4 linked regions of the Astyanax mexicanus genome follow. The protein of the gene in region 1 interacts with the protein of each later gene in a pairwise test. Links are inferred from orthologs where the notes say so. Each region holds a gene or a part of one and is shown in the gene's direction. Other genes may lie near its edges. The genes, in order: gabarapl2, bcl2l13, TBC1 domain family member 9B and tax1bp1b.

Region 1 (6,914 bases):
GTTGCTGCTGATGTCACTAAAAATTATTTCTTCACAGCACTCGCAATGTTCCTGTCATCCACTGCTGCAGTTTTTTACTTGGTGTACCTGTTAACATCTGTTATTTAGTACACCAGTGACGAATTTCTTCTTCAAGACATTCAAAACTGTTGTTCTGGCTATGGACAATATGTGTGCAATGGTTCTGATAGATTTTCCATTTTCTCTCAGTTTCACAGTTGCTTGTTTTTTACTCATAGACAGCTGGTTTTCATGTTGGTTACTTCTCTAACTTTAAATGCACAGTCTGCAGATCTGAAACTGAGTGTAGACATTCTGTGCTATTTATTGTTTGAATAAAATACTTTTGAAGGGCACTGTATAAGCGTCTCAACGGGCATTAAATGTGAGTTACGACTGAACATTTACATTTGAATTAAGGAGAAAAACTGAATTAAGGAGGAATATTTGCTTTGGAAACTATCAATTTACAACACAGACATATACAAATACATATAAACACTTTCTCTTACAGTTTCTTGCTTGATAGGCTCTGATGATGCTGGCCAAGTCATAGGAAGTAGCGAAGGGACTCCCTGTTTCGACCACTGACACCTAAAAAGAAATATAGCACGTAAACACACCTACAAAAAGCATTTAAAAGTGTGGTGTAAAGTATGAACACAAACTCTCACATTGTAGGCAGCATGTAGACCTCTGTGTGGCAGTGGGATCTGTTGGTGGAGCCTCAGGTCCCCATTGATGAACAGCTGTGATCCAGGAACGGAGGAGGAGTGCTGAATAAAGGCCATAGACTGCATCACTACAGTGGACATCCGCTACAAAAAGAGTGACATGAATTCAACCTGACAGTTCCACTTGTTCAATCAAGTGAAAAAAAAAATTGCAAATGCAGTGAGAAAAGCATCAGAAATATGTATGGCACAACAACCCAGTGTTTTGTTTACTAATGTTTGTTGGAGTGTGGAGTGTATTTTTTGATGATTGTTGGTTGGTTCGATGGCAGCTATTGACACCTGATGTTTGTTGCTATGTAATATTGTATGATGCAAACTGATTACATTTGATGGCATTACCTAGTGTCTGCTGGCATTTGTAAGTGTTTTATTATATATTTGGTATTAGAGTTTTTTGTAGAGTTGAGGTGATTTCTGCCATTGGACTGTATTTGGCGTAGGGTGGCATTTGCTTGTGTTTGTGGGATTTTGTTGAATAATTTTGGGACAGTTTGCCCTAAATTAAGGGTTAGGGTGTGTTTTTGTGGTACTGTGCTGATACACACAAACAACTGGTATGAGAAGGTGAGGAGTAGCTGAATGCTGTAAATCTGCTCTTCTGCTTTCAGTGGAACACTGAGCTGGAGACGCAGCCGGTCTGATTTTCCATCCTGATTGCTGTCCTCCTCCTTGACCTGCAAAACACAAACATGTGCTTTTAAACATAATACACTTATTTCATATGCCCACACCCACTGTCAAAAGTTTGTTTCTTCCACCTTTGTACTGTCTATCTAGCTGTGTTAACCGAACACTCCAAAAGCTATTTAGTTATTTGGAGCTACTCAGACCAAAGCTATCTAGTGTTGGTGAGGCACCATAAAAATTATATCCACCGCCTTCCAAAGAAAAGAACCTGTGTTTATGAGTAAATAACATTTTGTTTGTGATGCTCTGGTGAACTCTGGGAACATGTTGTGTGCTAGCTAGTTTGTGGTATTCAAACTTTTGTGTACATTTCTGTGTCTGTAGTACTTACAGACACTGCAGGGATGCGAAGGTTGCTTCCCAGCAGACGGTTAAAGTCAGGAAAAGTGCTCCACGCCACAAATTCTCCTGCTGTTCCAGTGGCTCCAATCATTAACATCTGGTACTGGAACTGCACAACCGGCTGCTCCTCATATGTGCTTCTCTTCAGCCAGAATCCTGCAAACAAAGAAAAAAAACATCAGTTACTGATGAAATGCTGCACTGTATTGGAGGTGTCAGTCAGTAAAGCCATGCACTGTTTAACATGAGCTCCTGGAGTTCATAAGCTAGTCAGCACAGCCAGTATATTAAGTAAGTCCATGAGCAAGTTCACGGGGTTAATATACTAAATTCTTACAGTATACCAGCTGTATTAATGAGGTGCTGCTGTAGTGAACACTTACCTTGGCTCTTGTAGGCGACCAGCAGTGGCGGGATGTACGTAAGACAGAAAACCATCAGCACGAACAGGGTGGCGCGAGTACACACATTGGTTTTATATCTTATTAAAGCAGGGTGGGAGTACACTTCATAAAAAGCCATCACTGAAACCCTCCTCGCTGTTCTGAACTCGCTCTGAAGAACAGTTCTAAACTCGCTCTGAAGAACAGTTAAAACCTACTGAGAAATAACAGTGGGGCTGTTCTGGTTAGCATTGGTTAAGGTTAAGCTGTAATGGAGATGTGTTAAGGTGTGTTGTGTGCTGTAGAATCGGTTTCTCTCGTATTTAATTCGGATTAAATGTACTGTATCTATCAGTTCGGCCGCAGACGTGCAGTGCCTAATTCGGGTTTAAAAGCCATGCTAATGCTAATGCTAACGGTAACTGCTCCTGAAGCGAAGCGTCCCAGCGTTACCATGACCGCCTCCAGGAAACAGAAAGCGAACATCCGCCCACAGTTACCATGGCCACCCACGCCCCACCCCCTCTGTTGTCAAATATATTTATTATTCCACCTCTTAGCAAAAAACTTAAATCATACCAAAATAAAGCTACCATTTAAAACAGATTTATTACTTTTTTTTTTGCAACGTTTTAAAAAAGGTCCCAGGAAGGAACATTACAGATAGTGTTCCAGGAATGTTATTTTAACGTGATGTGCAGGAGAAACACGTACACAAAAGTGTTATATTCTGTATTTAATCACCACAGAACATATAGGTGATTTAAAAATGAACTCTGCCACTGAAAATCAAGCTAAGAAGCTGAAGCCCAAATATGGGCATAACAAAGGCCACAGAATTACCAGTATTTATAACATACTCATTAACCAATAAATAGCCTTAATAGTATATTAGGCCTAATTTTTTTTTTTATGACAATATTTAAAACAATGGTTAGAGACAAACGTCTGGACATAGCTCTCCTGGTTTCTGGTATACTGTGTGTGAAACTGATCTGATTACTGAATTGGACATTTCAGACTATTTGGTCCACTTGATTTCATGACTGATTAGAATGCAAGACAATTATTAATACGATAAATAAAATAAAGGACAATAAAAAAAACATATATACAATGATAATTTACATTTAACAAACATGTCCTAATAAAAGGTTTTCCAGACATATATTCAGAATTATGGTGAACGTACATTATTTTTTTTTTCAATTGCTAAACAATATGAAAAGCCCATATTCAGTTGTAAGGATAAATATAAATGTAAAAAAAAAAAAAACAAGCCTGTAGGCCACCCTCCCACTTATATCAAAGAACACTAACACTAAACCTTATATATATATATATATATATATATATATATATATATATATATATATATATATATATATATATATATATATATATATATATATATATATAATATTGATTATACAACCTTTATCTAACATTGGCTACCTGAATTGAATCAACGTTCACTTAAAGGTTTTAAATGATTAAGGCTCTTTTAACACTTTTCAAGTTAATGCTTTTTAGGATAAAGGTGCTTCCCACAAATAATAAAACTATGTGTTATAATATGAATTATGCGTTAAATGTATATTTCAAGCTTAATATAATACAAACAATATTTACATATTTACAAATCAAAATCTTTGGGGAATGTGGTTGGTCACCGGGTGCAGGATTTAACCCGAGTCCTGTTTCGGCACATCCCCCACAGAGCTGGTTGGTATGACCTGCATGACGTCAGCCGTCCGTCCAGCAGTGCTAAAGCTAATGCTAGTGCTAAGGCTAATGCAGGCGGAGTGTTGACACCGCTGCTGTTTTCAGGATAATCTCCGTTTCTGTCTCTTTCTGCTCGGGTTATTCTTGCAGCTCCTGTACACTGATTCATTGTTTCACCGCACTGGGAGAGGGCCGCCCGAATCCGCCACCATGAAATGGATGTTTAAAGAAGATCATTCTCTGGGTAATTCTGTTTAATCTGATATAAAACTGACTTTTATCAAACCCACACAGACCCGCGCTCATTATTCACCGCCAGTAAACACCAGCCTCAGATAATGTGGAGATCTGTACCTGCATGTCTGAATACTAGGGGCTGGTCGTAATCATGTTTACATTGTTAGGCCGTGCGTGTGTGTGTGTGTGTGTGTGTGTGTGTGTGTGTGTGTGTGTGTGTGTGTGTGTGTGTGTTAAAACGTTATTAGCTAGACGTAGGGTAAATAACTACACCACCCCTTCACTGACCCAAAATAAACCATCTTACTATAGAAAAGCGATCACACCTTTATTCAGAACTGCTGTCTGTTTAAAGATCCCATGTTGCTCTCCATGATCTATTTTAACACTGATTTTTGCATTGGTGCAAGGGAATATACTTGTTGTTATTTTTCCCCAACCTCTCTTTATAAATGCACTCATTTTATTCAAAAGAGACGATTTTCTGTCATGTGGAACTAGAAAATACTTGAATAAAGTATTATCTCATGTCACACTTATCAATATGTTACAGACGACCAATTGATATTCAGTAGCTCAATATTGATTATCAATATAACATCCTGAGTTCTTGTGGCCAGTGTGTGCTAAAGTGCAGTTATTAAAGTGTGTCTTCAGGACAATGCCAGCCTCTCTGACACTAATGCCCACTGATGCTCAGAGATCATTATCAGCAGAGCTTATAGCCACGCTTCTTTTATTATAAGCATACAATAGCCTAAAGTGTTTTATTGTAACAAAACAAAAACAGTAGAACAAATTTTTGCATCCATCTGATCTGATAATTAAACTATATAGCCTTTTAATTTATTATTTGTATTAAATTGTATTTTAATTCTAAAAGCTGCTGACAAATGATTTTTGTTTTTGTATAGTTTTTACAACTTATGTTACCAAGCATTTTTACAGAACTCCCAAGAAGCCTGTAGCCTTGTACTGATATATTTTTGTTTTAATTTTATTATTTATCTTTAAGATCGAGTAAGTCTCAGGTTATCATTTTTAATAGTCTATTTTTAATTTAATTCAATTCAATTCAATTTAATATTTATACTGTTGATCCTGAAATCATTAGACTGGCAGACTCTATCCCGGTATTGATTTCTTTATTGTTTACTGTGGACAGGTTAAGAGTCTGCACATTAGTGTTTGAGCTAAGTGCTTGGACAAGAATGTTTGAGCAGCATTTTCTGCTGTTAGACTGTAATACATCTTCAAACTAGAGAGAAAAATAGGCTAATAACAAGCTCTCTTGCCTGTTCTTATTAAAGTCTCTGCAAATATAATTGCTTTTCCAGACCGGTTTGTGCACTCGTTTAACCTTTGAAGAAAGCTGAGCTGATAAAACAAGCATATTATTTAATATTTCTTGACTGATTGCTGTTTTTATTTGAATTAAATTTACTGACATATTTTTAAACAGCTCTTAACCTGCATTCTCCTGTTCTTCCTCTGAGCTTCACTTACAGCTTCTGTGTTGGGTTGCCAACAAGAACCAGTGTTTAAATAACACTCTTTAATTTTTATTCAGTGTTTTATAGTGTTCTGTATCAGAGCACTACTGTATATACACACTATGTGCTTGCATAAATGAAACAAAATAATGCATTCAGCATTACTTATTATGCTTGGTATTAGGATAGGGATGTTAGCTGGGGTATCTTTTTGTTTACCAAAGCACTGGCTACCTTTCTATGCGTACCATTCGAATCACATGTGATTTACTGCTGTGACTTCCATATGACATTAACACAGTACTGTCAAAACACTGCATGACACGCCGATAAATTGGAAAAGTGCTTTGCGTCATAAAGCACCTGCTTACATCAGTGTGCAGTGCAGGCATCGGTGATTCTCCTAATCATATTTTCTCGTTTCTTATCTTTAGAGCACCGGTGTGTGGAATCGGCCAAAATCCGCAACAAGTACCCTGATAGAGTTCCAGTGAGTATTAATACTAATCAACATCATGGACTTAGAGATCATTATTCTTCTACCTCAGTGTATTTCACTATGTCTGTACATGTATTGTGTGAAACCACTGTTTGATATCCCAATATTGATGTGAAATAAGATAAATAAAGATCCTCAATCAGTTTAAGCTTAAGAGTTTTTCTCAGGCTGAAGATTAAGTTTGATGTGCGTGTTAACAGTGGACTTCTACCTCACCTTGTCTAACTAGTTATGTCACATGAGTACAGTCTGTAGCATTAAGGGCTCCATTTGTGTTTATGGTGAAAACTGTGATAACAATGAAAGTAAAATTTGTCTCACTGCCCTAATATAGAAGAAATGCCACTAAACTCCAGTGCTTTTATAGAACACCAGTGGCCTAAACAGTCGTCTAAAACTGCTAAAGCCCTTTAGCCCCACAATGAACAGATCCACTGGTCTGTTTAGGGTGAAATGTTGAGGTTTGTTCAGTGCACAGTAGTGCTAGCTTAGCCTGTTGCAACATTCCTACACTACACTGACATGCCAACTGTGATGGGACGTAACTAATTTTGTGTCCCATGACTTTTGCCATGTCCTATGGAAGCTAAAGAACGCTGCACTGACCTGTGAGATGTGTGTGTGGGGCCTCCTGCATTAAATGTAGATGTCATTTCTGCCAGAGTGACCTTTCACACGGTTTAACGGTCTACATGTTAAATTATAAAATCAAGAATGTGTAAATACAACTTTGTAAATTGAACTTATCATTCATCTAACACCCACTATCAGGTCCTAAACTTGTTGCCTTGTCATAAGAATGCTGGTTAAA
Region 2 (8,024 bases), on another chromosome or scaffold:
TACAGCAGGAAAAAAAATCCTTGTTCTGTTCTTCAATGGTCAGTCTGTGTGGCACGGGTGTGATGTGAGTGTATGCAGTATGTGTGTGAGTGGAAGGAGTGTGCTGTGTGGTGTGGAGTTTTTGGTGTGTGTTTGAGTGTGAAGTTTGTGGTGTGTGTTCATGGTGTGAAGTGTACCTTGTTTGGCCACCTGTGTTGGATTTAAAATGAAATACAATTGGGTATGGGGGCATTCAACTTCTATATGGTTTCCTGCAGGACATTTGCTCACAGATGCTGTAGCTAGGCCAGTAGATCCTGCATAACCCTAAGTTATAGAAGATGGCATCCCAGCAGATTCCATAAATGCTTGATTGTCAATTAATGTGGAAAAGATGCAGGCCAAGGGTGTGTTGCAATCTGGTGGAGACATTCCTAGAAAACCCTTACTTTGTGTGGGTGAGCATTATCCTACTGAAAATGCCTGTTGGAAGCAACAGAGGAACAGAGGATTTCCTGCACATATTGCTAAGCTGTTACTGTCCTTCAAATAACTACTGAGGGTGACCAACCGTTATATGCAATGGCTCCCCAGATCATCACACCAGCAGCTGGGGGACTTTTCACTCCACAGAAAACTTGTATGCCCTCTACACCTTTGGCAAGACCCTGAGTTGTAATCTGTAATCGTTATTCTTTTTTGTCAGTGAGAGTAATTTAATGGAAACACAGTGAGGATACTGCTTACAGAAGCTTAGCTGACTTGTGTTTCAGTAGAAACAAACAAAGTTGGCATCAACATTTACACCCTATGTCTAAAAGTCTGTAACCATCCACTTATTCACTTATTTTTCTTCCAAAATTAAAAGTAAACAAGGATGTTGCCCCCTACCCTTTAACATAGTAGTTGTTCATACTCTCTGGAGGAAGGTTTTGCACAAGATTTTGAAACATTGCTGTAAGAATTAGATTTTATCCCCAGTTTTACTAGTGAAGTCAAATACTGGTATTTGGAGATTAGTTTAGGATCACAAACACTACTCTACCTCATTCAAAAGGTATTGGAGGGAGTACTATCACTCCAGAGAATTCCTCTTCACTGCTCAATATCCCAGCTCTGGGGGATTTACAGGCCTCTAGCCCATGCTTGCATTGGACATGGTGACCTGAGGCTCATGTGCAGCTGCTTCACAGCATCCTATTGTATTAGCAATGCTTTTCTATACACAGCGTTCTGTAAAAAAACAATGTGTGTGCATCTCATTCTACATGGATATTTCTGGAAAGTATGTTAATTTGAATTTAGCATATGTTGCTATAATGTGGTTTAATGCTGCAATCACAAAACACAGCCCTGTACCATAACAGAGCCTGGCTTTTGCGCTTGTTTCTGTTAACAATCTGGATGGTCCTTTTTAATGGTCAATATAAATGGATACAGTATGGATTTCCAATACTGTCCATATTATGATTGTATGTTTTGTACAATTGACTGAGTAGTTCTTTGGAAAATATTATTGTTTAATAATAGTTGAATAATTTCAGATACTAAATAGAGCAATTTTCTATGTTTTGACAAATTTATATTTTGTTATGTTGTGGATGAATAGTTGTGGATGAATAGTTGAGAAACAGAGTGAAAAGTGTTGTGAGCATTTATAATGTAAATGAAGTTGGAGACTAGGGGCCCTATGTTCAGATGAGATGAACTGTAATTGCTCTGCTTTTGGTTCGATTACAGCGTTAAATCTAGCTATTCCTGCACTAATCCTCACTAGGAACGGGAAGGAACACACAGGAAACCCCACAACCTCATAATTATCTACTACTGTCATTTTTAGAAAGTTCTGACCACAGCACAGAGTTTAGTTTACAGGGGATCTACAGACAAAACGCGGTGCAGCTGCGTGTGGACTATCGAGAACATAAAATATCAAAGGAGAATCCCCACTGACAGGGTAATTTGGAAAGTCCCCTCTAAATTTTCCAGGAAAAATAGGGATTGTCCATCGGAACAGTGGATTGGCATTCCTAGCTATAAGCTGTTGATCCATCAGGAGTTCCTGTAAGTAATTTTGTTTATGCTAATCATGATATTAGTAGAAAATCTTATTAAGATGTCACTGATGACTAATTATGAAAATAGATGCAGTGCAATAAACATACTGTGTAATCCATTGGTTTACATTGGTATTTATTAACACAACTAATGAGGTATTAATTCAGTTTAAACCTTTTTATATAACATTCCATAGTTTTGGGTGGTGAAAACACTACTTAGGGACCCTAATTACTTAGGAAGTACTAAAAATGTGGAAATATGTCAACTGTATGTAAAAGTTTGGATCAGGGATTTGCAAAGTGTGGTCCAGAAAGTGGCCCAAATCTTATTTTAGAAGAACAGTGTAGTGTATAAGTCTCCAATGTCATAAATGCATATAAGCTTATAAGTGTATTGTTGGACTGTTTAAACTTTAAGGCCCTTTTATTTTTTTTAGGCTCCAAGACAAATAGTTTGGTTCAAAAACAAAAATTCTACAGTACTATATGTTAAGGAGGAACTTTCAATTGATGTTGATGTAGAAATATTGTATTCCAAGACTATTTGGAGTATTGGTCATTTTTCAAAAAGTGATTTTTGCTGTCACATTTTTGTGTGACATCAAAGATATATACACCAATCAGTCATAACATTAAAGCTACCTTCCTAATATTTTGTAGATCCCTGTTGTTTTGATGAAATAGCTCTGACCTGTCAAAGAATGGACTCCAGACCTCCAAAACTTCTGAAGATGTCCTGTCCTATAGGGCACCAAGACATTAACAGCAGCAGCTCTATTAAGTACTGTAAGTTGAGAGGTGGGGCCTCCATGAAAATCAATGAGCCTTGGCCACCCATGACTTTCACACTACTTCACCGTTTGTCCCTCCTTGAAGCATATTTGACCTGTACTGACTACTGCAAGACCAGCCTGATGTTTTGGCAATATTCTGAAACAGATGTTTGGCCATCAAAATTTAGTTTTTGTCAAAGTGTCTCAGATTCTTACTATTAGTGTTATTAGTGAATATGGGCAAACAATGTGGTGTGTGATAATTCTATTGGATATCGTGATATTGATATTTCACAAGTCACAAATAAGGCATAAACAACAACAAAAATAAAAACACAAGGCTGGGGTAGGGTCTGTAGTACTTGGTATAAAGATTGAGATTGGAGGGTGGAGACTTGCTGTCCTCAGTCTGCGCAGGTTGGAAGGGTTGAGCAGCTGCTCTTAGAGGTGGTGTTGAGGGACCAGTGGCCAGTTGTGCGTATAGTTCAAACACAGGCTAGTTGTAGCATATGTGTTTATTAAACTCATATTTATGCATTACTAAATCAGAACATGTTGCACCACACAAACTATTCTATATATGGTAGCTAGTATCTAATTTATATTTATATTGGAATATGTATAAAATATAAAAACATAAAAAATATGAGACTGTAAAAAAAGAGAATGTTGGAATACAATATATATAAGCAGAGACCACTTAAAAATGATGAGTTTCTTTGATTTTACCAAATTGAAAATAAACAAGAGGAAGATGGATGATCACAAACCGTCAAATCAAGCTGAACTGACTTTTTGCACCAGGAGTGGCATAAAGTTATCCAATAGCAGTGTATATATAATATAATGATCAATATACTATATATACTATATGCTATATATTATCCCATATATTATCCAATTAGACATGCTGTAAGTGCCGTTTATATGTTGGTGTTTCAGAACTGCGTTTCCATGGCTACGTGTTGACTGCCATGATCTGCGCATGTGTAATTTGTAACTAGGTTACTAGTTAAGACCCAACATACGGATTTGTGGTACCATCAGATTTAGTAAATAGACAGTTTGAAACTAATTAGTAACTAATTAGTTGTATCAACGGAGACTTTACACTTTTAGGATACTTTACACACAAAATTAAGAAGGAACTTAAGCAAAACTGGTGCAACCCAAACTTCTTGTTCTCAGAAATTTGAACCCTACATAATATATTTTCAGGCCTCATACTTTCCTCCTGTGCTGTATATGTGCCTAGTGTTCTTTACTATCAATGTATTTATTGTACTGTTCCTTTTGCTCTACACGTGTATTTTAGAAGAATGGTATGTATGCTTCTGTTGACACTGATTTAACTCAATAGATATGTCGCTTAAATAAAGAACGAACCCTGTTCGTCACTGTTATGATATAACCAGTAGAGGGCAGCAGCACTCTATCAGTAACGTTAACTATTAAAACAACGGTACAAAACTGACATCTGCTTGTATTTTTCACGTTTAATATAAACCGTATAAATCCATTTAAACAAATAATTCAATTAATCAATTTAATGTAATAATTACATTGTGGGACCCTTTCATGCAAATTCCGTGGTTTTGCCACAAACATAATAATATTTTTATTATCACTATTATTAATATATATTTTATTTTTTATTTTTTTGTATCGATCCATACGTGTTTTTCAATAATAGGCTGTCTTTCCAAAGTAAAAAAAATAAATAAATAAAATAAATAAATAAAATATATATTTCCCTTTTTTTCTTTGACTTCACCCAAAATACATAACTACATTTAATTAAAAGATACCCTAGTGCCCTGCACCATGCTTTTTTTTTCATTTTCTGTATTCTAACGATGCATAGTGCATTGTACATAACAACAACAACAACAACAACAATAATAATAATAATAATAATAATAATAATAATAATAATAATAATAATAATAATAATAATATTCAATTTACTAGAATAATTTAACTGAAGTTCGAGGACGCAAACAAAATGTGTTGATAAAATGACAAGTTACAGCTTTAAGAAAACGTCTGTTGACACTTAAGTTAACCTAGTTAACCTAACTAGTTAACTTAGGTAAGCACAGTTCTTTTGTTAAAAAAGGGTAGTTAGCTAACTTTCGGCGCTGCTCCTGAATATACTGGCTGGTGCTACATAATCTCTGTAGCTATAGTGTGGGCTTTGAGGGAGTGCATGTGGGCTGTCCAAAAAAAGGTTTGGTTGACCCGAGCACAACACAGTAGCCACGCTGCTAACCGCTCAGCTAGCTCCGGTACAGCTAGCTTAGCTACTTCACTGGTACTAACTGACAGCCAGCGAGCTAAGCTAACCCGCCTGTGTCAGACCCGCACTGCTGCTGCTGCTGCTTCTTCACAGCTGAAGTGTTTGTGTCGGCAAGGTAAACACCGTTGTGGTTTTTATTCAGCGCTGCTGGCTGCCACTGTTTGTTGTTGTTGTTGTTGTGAGTGGCTCTAAAGTTAGCTTGGCTAGCTGTAGTGCTGAGGCGTGCTAAGAAGTCAGCGCATGGTAGGTGTGGTGAGTGTGTGTGTGAGAGTGTGTGAATGTTAGTGAATGCCTGCATGCCCTTGTGCTCAGTGTAAGGGACAGAGCTTCTGTAGAAACAACAGAAAGGTAAAATAATCGGAGTAAGTATGTAACTTTTAGTTAGACAAGATGTTTCTGTTTGTTTGTTTTTTGTTTTGTTTTTGTGACAAACTTTAAACGTGTTTTCTTCTAAGTACGAAACTCATTCATCCATGTGATGCAACCTGAGCAGTGACATTCTCAGTTTTTAACCTTTAGTTAGCTAGGTTAGCTATCTAAAAGTGGGGTTTGAGACATTAGTCTTTTTATTTTTAAGCAAGCTAGCATGTGTTGTCTTTTTGTGTGCCAGGAAATGTAAGTAGTTCCTTAGACCTTTTTTTCTTTTTTTTCTTCTTTTTTTTAACAGTAGTATTAGTTCATGGTTTAGTCCTGTCACAATAACCAACTTGTACTTTTATTCCACAAATATCAAGATAATATAATTGAATAATAATACATTTACATTTGAAATAGCAATGATATTTTATCTGTTAAAAAGTATTAAAACATTGCATCTGGAATCGAAGAATATCTTAAGTTATAAAAATCTGCACAAAATTAAAACAACTTGTTTTAGTTTTAAATTATTTACTCATAAATCACTGTTTCAACAGGTCCTGTTTTACTCTTTCCAACTGTCTTGTGTAATAATAAAAAAAACTGACTGCTTTGCAGTGTTACTGACAGATTTACATTTTTTTTCTAGAAAAGACCCTCTTTAAACAGTTAAAAGTTGACCTACCACCTCATTCACATTAATGAACACTGAGGTGAGCAAAAGTTATTGAGGTAATGGCCTAATGAAGTATTATTGGCTTCATTTGTTATTTTTATTATTTTGGTAGTCTGTCCTTTTTTTCTCATTTTTTTGATTAGTCAACAACTATTTTTGCCATTACCTTAATAACTGCCTCCTGAAAGCACAGCTACTCAGCTCTGCACACCTGTTAATATCACTCTATTGTCCAGTCTCTACCTTAACACGTATAGTGCCATGTTTAGAAACGATTAGTCAGCACTGAAATTTGGAGTCAACTAATTTTAACTAATCATGGCAGTCCTGAAATTATTAATTGTTAAAATATTGCCCTTACATGAACTTACATGAGTGTCTAAAGTGTACAGCAAATACTGAAAATTTGTTTATGCTCCCACCAGGTTTTTTGGAAACAATCAGGCAGTAGTTCATGTACCCAAGAGCCTGACACGTCTCTTCAATGGCTGCCTCTGGCTCCTCCACCACTGTGCCTGAAGGGTTCCACTATGAAACCAAGTATGTGCTCCTCAGCTACCTCAGCCTGCCCCCATCCTCACACTCAAGGCCTGCAGAAGGTAAATGTAAACTCTTGCTTTTTAATGCAATACCTTTTAGAGAGAAAGTAGTCAAACCTTTACATTCACATTCATTCACAGCATATTGTTACAGCTCCAGTTAGAAGAGTCTAACATCAAAGACCTTCATTAATTCACATTCTGTGTTTTGTTGGGTATGTATTTTTTCAGAAGTGTTTATCTAAGCACTGAAACCAGGGGGGGGGGCAGTTGTAAAGGACAGGTCATGGGCAGAGGGTAAGCTATATGCATGGCTCTGTATTATGTGTCAGCTCCACCTACCTCAGTTTAGCAGTTCAGCTGATATGTACAGAATGTACAGAGTGTGAAAAAGCATGCTTTGAAGATTTCCAATACAACTGTTACGTAACAGTCTTGACTTTTTTTTTGCTACATACCCAAACTTGACATAAACCCAGCCCACTGCTGAAAGCCCTGCTAGTTGTAGTCAAAACTGGCCAAGTGGTAATTATAGATTGGATACTTATTTGAATGGTATAATTAAAATTAACTAAATTTATTTTTGAGTCCACCATAAAACCGGCTTGTTTCATTATAGGGGCAGATTATAAGGTTGTGAATGGGCCTGTAAACTGCATCTAATGTATGTTGTCATGATTTACTTGTGTTACAGGTCTGTTTGTGACAAATATAATATAAATTGGGAGAGAAAGAATGATGTTGGAATTTAGTTCCTTTTTCCTGCTGTTACTAACCATTGTCACTTATAGTGAACTGATAAGGATGGCAGGGAGATATTACTATCAGTCATTTTGCAGTCAGACACTCCTGCACTTTCTAAACAGGCAGCTGCATTTTAAAACATTTTAACTGTTAAACTGTGTTTATCTAACATAATAGGACTATATATATTTTTGTCTCTTTTTCATGAATTTTGGTGCAGTGTAAACGCCAGCTTGAATTTTCAAACTCTGTCAGTAAAGAAACTACAAAAATGGAATACAAGTTCACTTACTCACACGCATACAGACATACCCTTCCTTCTCATACCGTTCCTTTTTTACCTCTTTTGAGTCATTTCCATTGTCCAGTCATTTTTCTCCTATCACATGATGCCAGCAGTGCTGGAAGGGTAAAGGCTAATATATGCTTAGCATGTGGTTTAGGTCTGTTTGTATGTAGCCTGTGTGAGTTTAAATGAGTAGGACAACCTAGAGTGAATATTATACCACTGCCTATAGGTTCATGTTATGTGAGGAACAATAGAACACAAGATGTTTAAGATTAAAAATATTCAGGAAGTGTTCAATTATTGTATGA
Region 3 (7,444 bases), on another chromosome or scaffold:
CTCCACAGTAATGATTAGAGCTTCTGTGATAAATCAGCATTTTCAGTACAGGATCAATAAATCAGCATTTCTACACTAATATCACATGTTGGATCTGTTCAGTAATGTAGAAGTGCTGATATTCAGTATGTGGAATAAATGTACTGGAATTGTGTGTAAAAATAGGTGATGTTGTTGTTTTCAGTACCCGGAGTTGCTACAGTGGAGACCTTGGTGTTCCTCTGTCCATCCTTTCCTCTCCTTAGGCCGGATGGATTCGCTCAGTTGCTTTACCTCCCAGATGTCGGTGAGTTTCTCAACAGTCTAGATCTCTCTCTCACTAAACATTACTAATAGAACAGAACTATGTGAAGCACGTAAACAAATCAGATCGGTATATAAAAGCTGTACATGTGCAATTGTACCAGATTAAACAGTAAATTAGTTTAGATGGTTTGAGCACAACTGATGAGGCCTATTTCTGTTTTTCTGTTTATCTGCAGGTCTGTTCTACCCCACTTTCTTCCCCCTGGTGTGGGAGGACAGAGCCGAGTCTCAGCAGCCATATTGCCCACCTGTGCTACATGGATCTGCTGTGGCAAGCCTACCTGAAGACCAGGGTCCTCCCAACTGCCTGCAGACAGCTGGAGCATCGACCGGACAGGGACCACAAGCCGGGGGGGCACTGCATCGCTCTCCCTGAGGACGACTGCGCACCACCTCGCAAGAGACGCCGCATCTGATCCAACCTGTATCCTTTATTTATTAATCTGTATATGTTTATCTATTACTGATAAGTTTACTTTATATATATTTATATTGTATAGTCCATTAATTAACTAGCTATATTTTTATAGAGTAGATAAGTTTACTTTATCATTTTATAAAGTTTCATAAGTTTACCTAATAATTTTAGAGTTCATAATTTAATTATATATTTTTTATAGAGTTCATAAGTTTCCTTTATAATTTTTAGTGTTCATAAGTTTCTTTTTTCCTTTTTATGAAATTAATAAATTTCCTTACCATTAGACTTTAATTAACTATTTATTTGCTTAATTACCTATTTTCCTAATTAAAATATTTGTTAAATTACCTATTTATTTATTTGTTTAATTAACAATTTATTAATTTAATTAATTTTTATATGCTTAATTAGCTTACTTAAGAACAATTACAGACCAGTTTAAAAGCACTGTTTTTTTGCATTGCTTAATCCTCTTTCTGATTACTTTATGTTGTAAAAACTTAAAAACTTAAACTTGCATTCTATGTATAAAATTTGCTTTATAAATAAATAAATAAATAAATAAATATTATTACTATAGTTACAAATTCAAATAATATTCATTAATTAAATTGTTAACGACAATTTTAGATATTTCACAACATCTACAGCAGTTTTTTTTATGTTTATTTTACTTTAAATTTACCTTATTAGATTTAAAGCATTAAAAAAATATTAGCTTTTAAAACATAATAGCATTACACAGTTTCAGAATTAGTTTTGAGTTCTCAAAAATGTAAATGTTTAAATGATCAGTATTAAGCATTCAAGAATGTTTTTATGAATCTTTTAACTGTTATTGTTAGTATATAGTTTTTTTTGCCAGATTGTTAATATTAATATTATTGTTTTTACTCTAGTCACATATTCAAATAAGATTTAGTTATTTAAATTGTTAACGACAAATTTACAACAGTTTTTTAACTTTTATTTTAATTTTAATTTACTTTATTAGATTTAAAGCTTTAAAAATATTAGATTTCAAAATTTAATAGCTTTACACATTTTCAGAATTAGTTCTGAATTCTCTAAAATTTAAATGTTCAAATGATCAGTTTTAAGCATTTAAGAATGATTTTATGAATCCTTTTTAATTGTTATTGTTAGTATATAGTTTTTTTCTGCCAGATTAATATTAATAAACTCTATTTCAACCTACATTCTGTCTCATGTCTTTTATTTCTTATACCTGTTTGTAAACATTATCTACTTAATTGTGTGTCATGTTATTTTAGCACTGATACCAGATATATAAGCAATTTAAGTGCTCTACAGAAACTGTATGGATGCACTAAAAATTTTGATTTTAATAAATTTACGATTTTAAACCTCTTATAAGAAAGTCAGTTATCTAATGTGCTAGTTCAGTCCAAAGAGATCAACACCAGCCTTTTATATATTAGTGAGTGTAACTACTTAAGGACATGGCAACACATTACAGGAAGGATGTACATCTACTTCTTACCACCAGATTTAAAATCAGAATGGCCTACAGTGAAATCAGGGAAAAGATAGCTGCATACAGACGGTACATGTGGGTCATTTTTGTAAAAGAAAGACTAAAAGTGTAGCTACTATGCTCTCCTTTAATAGCATGTGGTCATCACAGAAATCTCTGTATTGCTGTACATTCATTCACCTTAAACTACCTTAAACCTTATATGGACATTGTGACGAGCACATCACACAAGCCATTGAAGACATGGCTAATACCATACACACTCTTTCCCCTAAACTGCTTCAGTCCTGTTGTCTCATGCAAATAATGTTAGAAGACTCCAGGAGCAGAATGTGTATAATAACTGCTTATGACTTCATTAAAAAAAAAAAAATCCCATATCACATGTCTAAAAGAGATGGAGAGGGAGAGAAAGGCACTCCCCTTGTGTGCATATTCATGAAACACATGCAAAACCAAGATTTATATTTTATAGATAGATAACCCCTATAGTATATATAATATAGATAGATAATCCCAAATTGGTCCGGGGGAACCTACCTGAAATTAATTTTTGCAACTTGGAATGTCCAAGCTTTGATGTTCAGTCATTAGAATAGATGTCCACAAAGATTTGGGTGAGTGTACATTACAATAGGGCTGCAATGAGGTCGATAAAATCGATAATGTTGATTATTTAAATTTGTCGACTACAAATTTCATTGTCGAAATCGTTAATTTGTAACAGTACTCTCCATGCTTACACAACATGTGGACATTTAAATGCCCTTTAAATCTCATGTTTGGCTGTTTCTGTTGTTTTTAAAGATGGATGAGATGGCAGAAATAATTGCTGACTAATCGACTAATCGAAATATTATCATCAGATTAGTTGACTACAAAAATAATCCTTGGTTGAAGCCCTACATTACAATAGCACTTATTAAAGTGAAATAACGTAATTCTTAATTTATGTGAAAAAAATAATAATAATAATGATAATAAAATTGTAAATTGCAAAAGTGGTCTCAAACACACACACACACACGCACAAACAAATATAAACTCTAATTTTGGTAAATTTCTTTATATGAACTCATTCATTTTGGACTCACTCAGGAGTGCCCTCTCGTGGTCAAACCGACACGAAAGAAATGCTCAAGTGGAAATTCTCCTTTATAAAGTCTCTCTAGTCGAGACTTGGAAAAAGACATGATCCATACTACCTAAAATAAATCAATACTGCACACAATCAAATTCCAAACCAGTAGTTAAATAGACATAACTTTATTACCCATATAATTTATTTATTGGTACATAGTCCATAAGTATGACTGTATTTAAGCTTCAGTATGTAACTAAGGAGCAAAATAGAGAGAACTAGGGAATGTTTATTGTATTTACACATAAATAAATGCATTTAACTTATTTTATTTTAGTTAATATCTTAGTGTAGGAAATACACTATCAAATCATTTCTTTCCTAAATGCCTTTGGGAGTGTGAAAGATTCCAAAGCAAATTGATGAGTAGAACACTACATGGATATCTTGGATATCTGGTATCTTGACACAGCACTTTTTTTTAAATAATAATAATAATAATAATAATAATAATAATAATAATAATAATAATAATAATAATAATAATAATAATAATAATGGTAAAGACCAGAAACAAAAAAATGAAAAATATATACCGAGATTTTTTAAAATGTGATGTTAAAACACTTACCCATCTGTACATGCTACTATAATGAAATATAACTGTAAGTTTCTAAAATTACTGAAATCTAGAAGTGCTAAAGATCTTTTTAAATTACTAAAAGAATACCCCACTAATGTTCATTTTTAAATTAAAAAATTACACACCAGAACAATAAGAACATTGCCAAGATATATGCCCATTAGCATTTTCACAACTCTATCACAGAATTAATGATTACTAATTAATAGCACCAATAAAATCGATATTAACACAACTTTAATAATTAATTATTTTCATGTAAGTTTTCAATATTTGTTTTATAATTTGATGTTAAGTTTTGTTGCTTATGTGTGTAAATGTGTCGTATCATGATGCATTGCTTTCTCATAACTTAACGATGCCTTTACAGTGTTGTAATTTTTAAGTTTTTGAAAAACAAAAAAACATATATAATGGTGGAGACCCCGGAAGGTGAACCGCACCTTTATTTTGACAGGGTTTCCAGCGGGCCGTCATGTTGGTGATGTCATCGGGGCTGGTGCTGTGTTGCTCTGTGCTGTAGCTGTAGCTGGCGTAGCTGCTGTGCTGTGGCTGTGTGGATAAACAGTGGGTGCAGGCGGGCGGGCGCGGGCTTGTCGGGTGTGGTATGGTGTTAGTGGGCGCCGGCGGGGCTCGGCTGCTGATCGCGGGGCAGGGCGGAGGTCTGTGAGCGGGAGAAGATGTGGATTACTCCGGAGGAGGTGCTGCTGGCCAACGCGCTGTGGGTCAGCGAGCGGGCCAACCCCTTCTTCATCCTGCAGCGGAGGAAGGGACACGGCCGGGGAGGCGGAATCACCGGTGCGTGTTTATGTGTGTTTGTGCGGTTTAAGAGGCGCTGCGGGGCTCGGTAACTGTGAAACACAGCTCTGAAACACAGCTCTAAAACACAGTCTGCAGCCCCGGGGGTAGAGTTTACTGAATGTCACTGAAGTCGTGTTGTGTTTAAGTCTTTGTTTATGCGGTGTTTATTTACTCGCTCTGACTCTCTGACTGCCTGCAGGTAAGCTATAGCTGACGGTGGCTAACCCAGCCTAAGCTAAAGAGCTGTCTCTCTCTCACTCAGCGTCTGTGTCTCAACGCCTGTCTGTGTCTGTGTGTGGACGTGGTGCTCTGACTCTGTGTGATGTCTGAATACTGACATTTCTCCCTCCAGGCAGACAGAGAGCGTTAGGTTACACTGCTGCTGTTTCTACAGATAAACATCCTGTTTGTGCTTGTTTTAAAGCACCTCACAGTGTGAAGGATGAGGTCAGTCTGAATCATCTCAGTGTAGCTCAGTGAACAACACAGGGGCGGCTGCTCTTCTGCTTCCTCACGCTTAACTATTTAATTTCCTTTTTAACGTTAAAGTATTTGGGCTTTATTTGTAATTATTAACTCACCAACCCAGTGCCTTTCTTTGTCTAATTAGATTGGGTTATTATCCTTGTGTGCAAATAAAAAAATCCTAGCTACTATTATAGCTAGATTATCGTAAAGTTAGTGGCCAGCAGAAAATTGTCTTAGCCAGCTAGTAGGGATGCACGATGATATCGGAATAATATCAGTCGTTTTGACCGATATTTCTAACTGATACCTGCTGATGCATTTATTGTATGTTGGACACACTACTTTAAAGTTCTCATTCCATCGTTTTCATTCATTTTAAAATGTCCAGTAGTAGTCTCTAGTATGAATGAATGTTGGGTAAGCTGTTTTTTGTAAGTGTTTTTATATATCTCTGCTGTATTTTACTGAGTTTGTGGTCTTTGAATAAAGACAGGATTTCAGCTTTTGCTCATGTATACTCATACATGCAAACATATTGCCTCTGATTAACTAACGGCACTGTGATGCAGCAAGACAGACGTTTTTACACTAATAACAGTATTTACAATGTCATATGTTACTTTACATCATGTGTAATGCCCTGCTAAGTGCAGTTCAGCCACTGACCTAGTCTTAGAGTCTCTGTAAAACGTGAAATCCACCGGAGGTCATATGTAAACCTATAGTTACTTACACAGAGGTGGGTAGTCCAGGTCTAGAAAGTAAAAATCCACCCCAGGGTTCTGTTGGCTGAGCCAACTGAAGAATTTTTATTTTGTGGTGTAACAGCAGGGGCTCATCAAAAACATTTGTTTTTCCCTTTATGCAAGAAAACAAACCTTGTAGAGCTAAACTTCCCTATTTGAGCTTAATTACCCCCTTAATTCACCGTAAATAAAAATTAAATGCAGGCAGTGGTGAAGTTGCTGTGTAGTGTACACAACAATAACCACAATGTGCACCATCCATAATTATTATTTTAATGAATAGCAGACACTGTATTTTTCTTTGGTACAAGCTACTCAGTTTGCTCTCAGTTGTTTTTCCTGAGTTCTCCTCCTTGTAGCTTTAATGTTGCAGACTGGATTGGGGTGAAGATCAGTGATCATGAACACTGTAGAATGTTTATGAAAGGACAGTACATGAGCAGACTCAGACTGTACTACAAGAATAAAGTATTAACAGGAGTAAAAATGAAATGAGAAATAAAGAGGTTGTCATTTTAACTATGCAAGATTACATTGGTTAGAGGTTCACCCAGCATTAATTCTTTCCAAGTAAACAAGACTAATTAAACAAGATTGTAAGGAATCATTCATATTGCAAACACTGTTGTTACCCACTGTGTGCTCCAAAACAGCATATTATGTATAGGTCAATAATACTATATTGCCCAACTCTAATCACATGCATTAAAAAATGATATGTTTGACTACACTCTTTTCTCACTACAGCTCAATCAGGGTCCAGTTTTCCACAAAGATAATCAGTGTGATGAGTTAGTTTTGGTAAAACCAGCCCAGTACATGTTTTATGGAAAGTTTACTTTAATATAATAAAGTTGCTGGCAAAGATTGCCTTTTTTTTTCTCTCCCTCCCTATTTTATAGCTTTTTTTGGTAACTTGGCTAAACAATCCCATCCGCACTGACCACGACTCCTCCCTGTCTGTGTAAAAACAAATATGCTCTCTTTAAGGAGAAATTCTTCATAGGATACAACAGAGGCAGCCTTTGTTTTCACACTTGCAGGGGACACGTCACAACTGAAACTTCTCCACCCATGTTGGTGCAAGAAATTGAGTTAAATCAGAAATATTCAAGCTGCCCAGGCTAAGATTGACCTTAAAAGGTCTTAGCTTAGTTTAGTTTAAGTAGTCTAGTATTTCAATGTTCAAGTCTTATCAAAACTGAAATACTGGTCAACATTCACCATTTGTTACAATTGTCTGTCAGATGTTTCCACCATGCTGAGATCATGTTTCTTGCTGCATATTAACTACTTGTGGCTTTAGAGATCAGAGTACACACTCAAATGAGAGAACCACACACAGCCAGGCACTGTTACAGTTGTGGTGTCTTAAGAGTTTGTAGTGAATGACACACAAACAGACTATTCAGAGAGATCGCTGAGTCAGTCGAATGAAATCAGTGGGAAAATGCTGATCTTAGTATGTGATGAGTTAACT
Region 4 (7,420 bases), on another chromosome or scaffold:
TGGGTGTCTGAGTTTGGATGATTTTAAAGGAGTAAAGGTGGAGAAAAAAAAAAGAGAGAAAGACCCTTACTTCAAAATCCCATTAGGGCCGGTGTACACTTCAATTACATTAGGACTGGAGGGGAGCATCGTGATGATCCGATCCGACTTGTCTGCCACTTCTGCAGGCGAGTCCAAGATCTAATTTCCATAGCAAAGTAAACAAAATTATTTCCATAGCAAAAACAACAAATCTGCCCTGTATTCTAGTTGTATTTCATTTATAGAGAAGATAAACATGCCCAAAAAAATGTTTACATTGAAAAACTATGACACTAATGTAAACTGCTAATCTGTTGATACAGTAAGAAAGAAGCACTATACTAGTAGTTATGACTGTGTTTTAGTTTTACAAATATCTTAATAAGTTAAGCAGTTTAGTTTTAAAATGGGGCAGTGGAGACAAACTTAGGAGAAGCAATTGTGGTAATTTGTGTGTTCCTTTCTGTATAACATTGTATTACAAATATACATAAATAAAAATACATACTTTTCCATCATCTGGAGATAGATTTAAAACGGTCACGCTCAGCTGAGAGAAAATTAATTTGTACCAGCAAAAACAATTGAAGCACCAAGACACAGGACCGCTGTTAAATGTTAACTTGCTGTAACACCTGTGTAAAGTTTTACATTTCCATGAAATGAGAGGCTGTTATCCAAATGAAAAAGCCCTTGTTCCAAAATTGACTCCTTCAAGCTTTATTTAAGATTTCAGCTAACCATATGTAAGTTTGTTCATCCTAAAAAACATGGCACAAACTGTTAAGCATGGTGGTGGTAGCAACATGCTCTGGGTCTTGGAACTGTTCATTGCACAAAGTGTATAGAATAATGAAGTACGAAGAGGAGAAGAAGTTGGGCTACCATAACTTCAAACAATTAGCTGGACAGTTAAAACTTTGTCCCAACAGGACAGTGACCCAAAATACACATCAAAGGTGGTTGTTAAATGAATAAGGAAGCACGCCAACACTAGGCTTTTGTAACAGTCTTTCCAAATTCTGACCTCAATTCTGTTGAGAAATTGTGGACTGTACTTCAGTCTATAAGATGTGCCAAATAGTAGTTATTTTCAAACTAGACACCCGCTAATAGGCATCAAAAGTAAAAATGTTTGGGTGTCTGTCTGTTTTTTTGTTGAGTGTTAACCCTCTGGAAACCACAGCATTTCCGTACAATGACCCTTGCATTTTTACTGCATAACAAGTGTGATACTAGGAATATGGTGATTTTCATTTCTTGTATGCAATAGTTTTAATATATTGACATTTATTTATATGTCTCACCCCTAATATGACAAATGCAATACTGTTGTATTCTGGAAAAATGAAAATATGACTGTCCCCCACCTGAGCTCCGAGCTCCTGAAGCTCTTTACAGGACTCTGGAAACACATCACAGGCGATCACTGGATAACCATGCTTGATGAGGTTTTTGGCCATGGGGCCTCCCATATTTCCCAGCCCAACGAAGCCCACCTGGGTCTTGGAGGCCATGGACCTGGAGACTGAGACACATTTAAAACTGATTAAAAGCTCATACAAGCCCTTGTGCAGAAGTACTGCCCTTCAACTCTGTAGATAGCTGGCTAATCTCAAGGTGAACAAACAAACAAAACCAATATTTATTCAAGATTCCTAGTGGATAAAGCAAAAAAAAAGGCATTGTGTGCATTTTATACATTATTTTAAACATGAACACCCTCTTTGCATTTGCATTTAAGCAAGTTTATATAGCAAAATTTGCTCTTTTACAGCTGACACCAGCATGACTGTAGTTAAAACCCCTTTACCAGGCCAGGATTTCTGTCAATTGTCTGCCTGTCATTACACCACTAAATCTTGAGGACTTCTATTCAGGCATTACATAAAAAGCTTTCATGATTGATAAGGGACATTACTGAAAAGCATAATTGTAATAGTAATATAAAATATAAAATAAAAATATTTAAAGTAAATCTGCTAATATCAAAATATAATGATAATAGCTCGTTCCTGAACTTCATTTTAAAATCAATATTGTCCTGAATACAAATCAAAAAGTCTATGTCCTCTAGACCATTAGTTTCGTTATGTTTGTCTAGTTTTTTACGTCTATTTTCAAACCTGCAGGATTTGGCTTGAATTCTGTTACTGATCTGGAATTATTAAGTGGAGTAGAGAGTGAACATGCAGCTTCTCCTATAGGAGATATAGTGTCCTATAGGTAATTTCAAAGCCCTCAAATGTTTAGAATCTAATAAGTTATTTTGCATCAGAAAAAATTATTTTGTATCACCTACACCTGTAGCCTGTATACGGGACAAGGTATGTTAAGGAGTTAAGTTATATCTGACAGCTTAACAGCCACTGATCTAACCCAACCTAAGGTAGCTAGGTTAACATTAGCCAGCGCTGCAGTTCACTACAATCTTCGAGTTTGGTTGGAGCGTGCCATTAGTTTTGGAGCAGTGATGCCAAGCAGCGCGCAAATACACAAAACATCCATATAAAAGCAGTTAATGAAGAGGATTTAGTGAATAAAGAGAGCATACCCTGCACACAGACGACATGGTTGTGCCACTGTCCCACAAACCTCCGAGACCTCCTTAACAGAGCGGCCATGCTGCTGCGCTGCTGACCTCCGACTCACAGCGCACGTATTGGGTGGGACAAGATTGACAGCTCGTCTGTCCAATGCAGTGCAGAGTCTGCTCTGACTCCTCCTCCACGGAGTCTCACGCGAAGGCGGAACATCCTCTGAAGGACCAGTCTGATTGGCTGAATGTTTTATAATGAAGGTTATCAGACTGCTGCTTTCTCCTTTGGGCCTGTATCTGGTTTTCACTCTATGCTTATGAAACTTTTGTAGCTATGTTTGTATGGTGTCTTTATTGGTGCAACAACTACAGAACTCTACAGAACTTTAGAAGCATAATGATTTACAAACTTACAATATTTTTTAAAATTAGTTTCAATACATTTCTACATTTTCATAAAATGAAAGTTGAATGTGCCAAATATTAATGTTGTACATTTTTTTACCTAGGCTATGCTCACATTACAAGGCTGAAGTCCTTTTTGCTCAATATTGCTTAGAAGCATAATTATTTACAAACTTACAATATTTAAAATTAGTTTCAATACATTTCTACATTTTCTCAAAATGGAAGTTGAATGTGCCAAATATTAATGTTTTACAACTTAGGCTATGCTCACATTACAAGGCTGAAGTCAGATTTTTGGCTCAATATTGCTCATATCTGCTTCTTTCATGGCTGTGTGAAAGTGCCAAATCCGTTTTCCGATTTCATGTGATCCTAAAAACCGTCTTTTTGCTTTCACGCATGAAAGTTACAAGGTAACAAGCTTTAATGCTTACAAAAAAATCAAGCCTCTAGCACTCCTGCATCAGTTCCATTTTACACTGTCTTTTGGTGTGACACATTTTACACAAAAACTCATAAACTGCTTTTAGATTTTATTGTTTAATTACAGCACACCTGATCCAACTAATTAACTAATGAGCCCTTGCTGAGGGAGCTGGGTATGTTATAGCAGGTAACAAGCAGCTCCAGAAGCATGCTTGAAAACCAAAGATCTGGATCTACAAAGAACCAATAAGGAAAGAGTTTAAACGTAAAAGTCTTAACATAAAAAGGCTTAATGTGGCTTTTCTTCCCATTGAAACCTATTATGAGGTAAAAAGCCTGACGTGGCTTAATGTACTTAAACTAGAAACTCCAACATCTCTCATTTTGTTCTATTTTATCTTATATTTATCCATTTTAACATGTTCTGTTTGGGTGTAATTGGACCATGACAATACAATTTTGTTCCACTTCATGTACCACATGTGATGTGAAATGACAATAAAATCTCCTTGAATTTATAAACATTTAAGTAAAATCCGTATGAACACTAATTTCAGTTGATAATTGGTTTCATTGAAGGTGGTACATGAAGGTCAAAGTGGCTTGGAAGCGGCACATCCAGGTAAAACATATCACTGAGGGCAGTTCGTAGGGCATGTTTTTTTCTGAATGACAGGCTGGTATTGATCTTATTGATTTTTTTTAGCAGGGTATGAACCTGACTGTATAGCAAATAAATAATATTTATATACAAAATTTATAAAATTATGTTTTTTTAAGATGACACTGACATTTCCTTGTGTACAATTAGGTGTATGTTTGGTTATTTACTAAGCTAGTTTTTATTAAGAATAATTGTTTATTTTTGTAATTTTTAATATTGTAGTTTATGTCTATTTTAGTGAGTTCAGTATAAGTAAATGGAGCAGTGGGAAACCCCTCTGCTTTTCCAGATTCATAAAGCTGTTCTGATCTGATTCATAGATTACACAAGGGTGATATTTCTGAAGGAGGAAAGGAAGGACAGCGCTGAGCAGCTGAGCAGACCGACTGAAAACACTCTCAAAACAGATCAGCGTTTCCAGGCAGGGCGGAACTGACGCCTCTCTGCTGTGTTGACTGTCCTGAGTAAAGTGCGTCAACAGCAGCAGTGAGAAGGTTTCTGACAGCATGAGGTAGGCCTGCCTTTATTTACCCTTACAATAACTAAGCGTACATTATAACTAAAGCGAAATGTGGCTTTTTAGACTGAAACATGGTTCAGAACGGGGTTTAGGTAAACAGAATACGCTGTTAATGAAAGCGAACAAGTAACCCACAACAACAGATAGATCGCCAGCGAGTGCTAATGCTAACGCCAGCGGCCTCTTATCGCTAGCTAAGCTAAGTAGCTAACCTAGCTAAGTTAACTTCTGAATTTCTTTAGCTTAACTTAGTTGAGTAACGTTAGGTTAACAGTCCCATCCAATAAAAAAAATCATTTAAGCGTTTATGTGTCATTAATGTGAGTGTCATATAGACAGCTAAGCTAATATAGCTATAGCTGGCTAAGTTACTGACTGTGGGTTGGTTCGTTTGTTATTGTTTAGCTAGTTAGCTATTAGCTAGCTAGCGCTAGGTCTCTGCGTTTTGCTCCCATTAGCAGCTAGCGAAGAACTTTGTACTTTAGATTAGCGAGTGTTTTTAACAGTTAAGCAGCTAAACTAGCTACATTTCCATGTTTATTCAAGTTTGAAATTATAATTACACTGTATTTAATATATTATGCCCACTGTCACGTTTCTGTTTGCCAAGTTAATACGATTATAGTTAAATTTGATTTACATTGTACCACACGCGATGGTTAATAGTCATCTAGCTGGGTTACCGTTAGTTAGCCTAGCTACCATTCAAAGTCCAGGGGAACAAGGGAAACCTAGATAACATCATGTTGTGATATCGGACCTAACGTAACTCTTTCATTATAGTATAGCCAAACATAAAATTATATGCTGCCTTCAATTATTGTTGGAAATATCGTATTTACGAGAGGAGAGCACATGGACGGTACCATAAACTCGTATTTATCAGTGTAATACTCGTATTTTTAGATAAGCCCTGAGTTTTATAGTTAGGAGAGGGGCGTGTCAGTAACAAAGTCAATAAGTTGATGCAGACAGTTCGTATTGTAAACTGCTTACACTTCTGTTATTGCTACAACATTAGAACACTTGCAGGTTAATATTAGCTTACTAATAAAATCACTAGAAATACGTAAAAAAAAGTCTTGTAAGATTCAATATTATAATGAAATGAAAACATCACTCAATTAATGCGTGTCTTATTCACTTCATTCACTTGGGGTAGGGCAAAATAAACCTCCTGTTTTTTATGATAAAAGATCAAAAGTATAAACAAAATATTTTTTTAAATGGCGTTCATTTCCACCCGACCAAAAAACACATGAACGCATGTCAAGTAGTTATTACCACCTACAACCTCCTAAGTAGGATTTTCCCGAGGAGGACTTGAAGGCATCATACCTATTCCACACTGTAGCTAGTGTCCCTATTAGTCTCTGTTCAGTACAGCAGTAAAACCAATACAATCAGTGAGCTATTAGTTAACTTATCACTTTAGAGCTTATAATGGAAGAGAAAATGTGTACATTAGTGCTGGACGATATGGCCAAAATTTATATCACGATATATTCCTTAAATTTCGGTCGATACGATATAATTTAGATATCGATAAATACTTTGAAGGCCTCAGAAAAAGAATCCCTGCAATCTCTGCAGCTTGCACTGCAAATTTAAATTATTATTTAACTGTGTATTTGCACTTTTTGTATCAATCTATCTAATGGAAATCTGTACCTACTACTGTATGAAAATGTTTTTTAAGTCTTTGAAACCTCCTTTCACAAAAACTTTAATACTTTAGAAATAAAAGTAGTCAAAATAAATCAATGCTCAATTTTATTTGCATATAGTAAAATAATAACAGGACATCCCTGTCAAACATAAGCCTATATAACTATTACAAATAAAAATAACTTTAAATGACAACAGAGGCAGAGCTTCTTATTCATTGTAAACAAATTTAACAGATTAAAACAAAAGTGTTTTAACTAGGATATATAATAGCCTTTATATACATAAAAGCAACAAGATTTTCCCGTCAAATAAACAAACCTATAGGATTTTTCAACTATAAATAACTTAGTGACAACATAATCTATTAAAGTGCTTCAGCCAGAATACAAGAGGTATTCAACATGATATCAACGGCAAATAAACAAACCTAAAGGATTCATAAACTTTAAATAACTTAGTTTCAACATAATCTATTAAAGTGCTTTAGTCAGAATACAAGAGGTATTCAACATGATATCCACGTCAAATAAACAAACCTAAAGGATTCATAAACTTTAAATAACTTAGTTTCAACATAATCTATTAAAGTGCTTCAGTCAGTATAAGGAAAATATTGTATGTAGTGAAGATGCTTGAGGTGGTGGAACAGATTAGATCTATTAACGTTACGCTGCTTGTCGGCTCCACTCACCGGCACAATTTGCAGCAAAGCGGCAAGCGAGCGGACCCGCGGCTGGGCGAGCGGAGCCGCGGATGAGCGAGCGGAGGCGCGGATGAGCGAGCGGACCCGCGGCTGGGCCAGCGGAGCCGCGGATGAGCGAGCGGAGCCGCGGATGAGCGAGCGGACGCGCGAATGGGCGAGCGAAACAGCGGCTGACCGAACCGAGTCTACCCTAGCCTTGGATCCGCTCGTCCCGGCTCCGTTTCGAGACATTTTAGATGCGTAGCGGAGCGGACCTGAACCTAACCTAGCCTAGCCTAGCCTAGCCATTTTAACCTAGCCTAGCATAGCCTATCTGGCTACGTGCCTGTGTGATTGCGTCATCACGCACTGAGGTAGCACAGCTATGGGGGCTGAATGTGTTTGGCTCTGCGGCGAGCTGACGCCAGTAAAAAACGCCTGTCCGTGACAGATTCTGTACATAATACATATCGATATACCACAAAAGTG

Evidence for each region.
Region 2: the proteins of gabarapl2 (region 1) and bcl2l13 interact in binary tests that used the Homo sapiens proteins (3 or more experiments, as listed by UniProt). The two-hybrid records come from large-scale screens. The link is inferred for Astyanax mexicanus from reciprocal best matches to the Homo sapiens genes GABARAPL2 and BCL2L13.
Region 3: the proteins of gabarapl2 (region 1) and TBC1 domain family member 9B interact in binary tests that used the Homo sapiens proteins (3 or more experiments, as listed by UniProt). The link is inferred for Astyanax mexicanus from reciprocal best matches to the Homo sapiens genes GABARAPL2 and TBC1D9B.
Region 4: the proteins of gabarapl2 (region 1) and tax1bp1b interact in binary tests that used the Homo sapiens proteins (3 or more experiments, as listed by UniProt). The link is inferred for Astyanax mexicanus from reciprocal best matches to the Homo sapiens genes GABARAPL2 and TAX1BP1.

The regions. Positions count from the first base shown.
Region 1 is NC_064417.1:10,973,332-10,980,245, reverse strand, and holds the start of gabarapl2 (gamma-aminobutyric acid receptor-associated protein-like 2), read left to right. Parts: upstream 1-3,892; 5' UTR 3,893-4,084; coding exon 4,085-4,118; intron 4,119-6,038; coding exon 6,039-6,094; intron 6,095-6,914. Other genes in the region: tmem231 (transmembrane protein 231), read right to left, coding at 513-594, 675-818, 1,283-1,411, 1,756-1,922, 2,150-2,288. UniProt on the Homo sapiens protein: Ubiquitin-like modifier involved in intra-Golgi traffic. Modulates intra-Golgi transport through coupling between NSF activity and SNAREs activation. It first stimulates the ATPase activity of NSF which in turn stimulates the association with GOSR1.
Region 2 is NC_064416.1:24,766,029-24,774,052, reverse strand, and holds the start of bcl2l13 (bcl-2-like protein 13), read left to right. Parts: upstream 1-5,012; 5' UTR 5,013-5,226; intron 5,227-5,275; exon of another isoform or gene 5,276-5,473; intron 5,474-6,569; 5' UTR 6,570-6,628; coding exon 6,629-6,743; intron 6,744-8,024. UniProt on the Homo sapiens protein: May promote the activation of caspase-3 and apoptosis.
Region 3 is NC_064409.1:65,606,050-65,613,493, forward strand, and holds the start of TBC1 domain family member 9B, read left to right. Parts: upstream 1-4,443; 5' UTR 4,444-4,629; coding exon 4,630-4,747; intron 4,748-7,444. UniProt on the Homo sapiens protein: May act as a GTPase-activating protein for Rab family protein(s).
Region 4 is NC_064413.1:42,619,141-42,626,560, forward strand, and holds the start of tax1bp1b (tax1-binding protein 1 homolog B), read left to right. Parts: upstream 1-4,418; 5' UTR 4,419-4,569; intron 4,570-7,420. Other genes in the region: hibadhb (3-hydroxyisobutyrate dehydrogenase b), read right to left, coding at 71-180, 1,392-1,549, 2,576-2,645.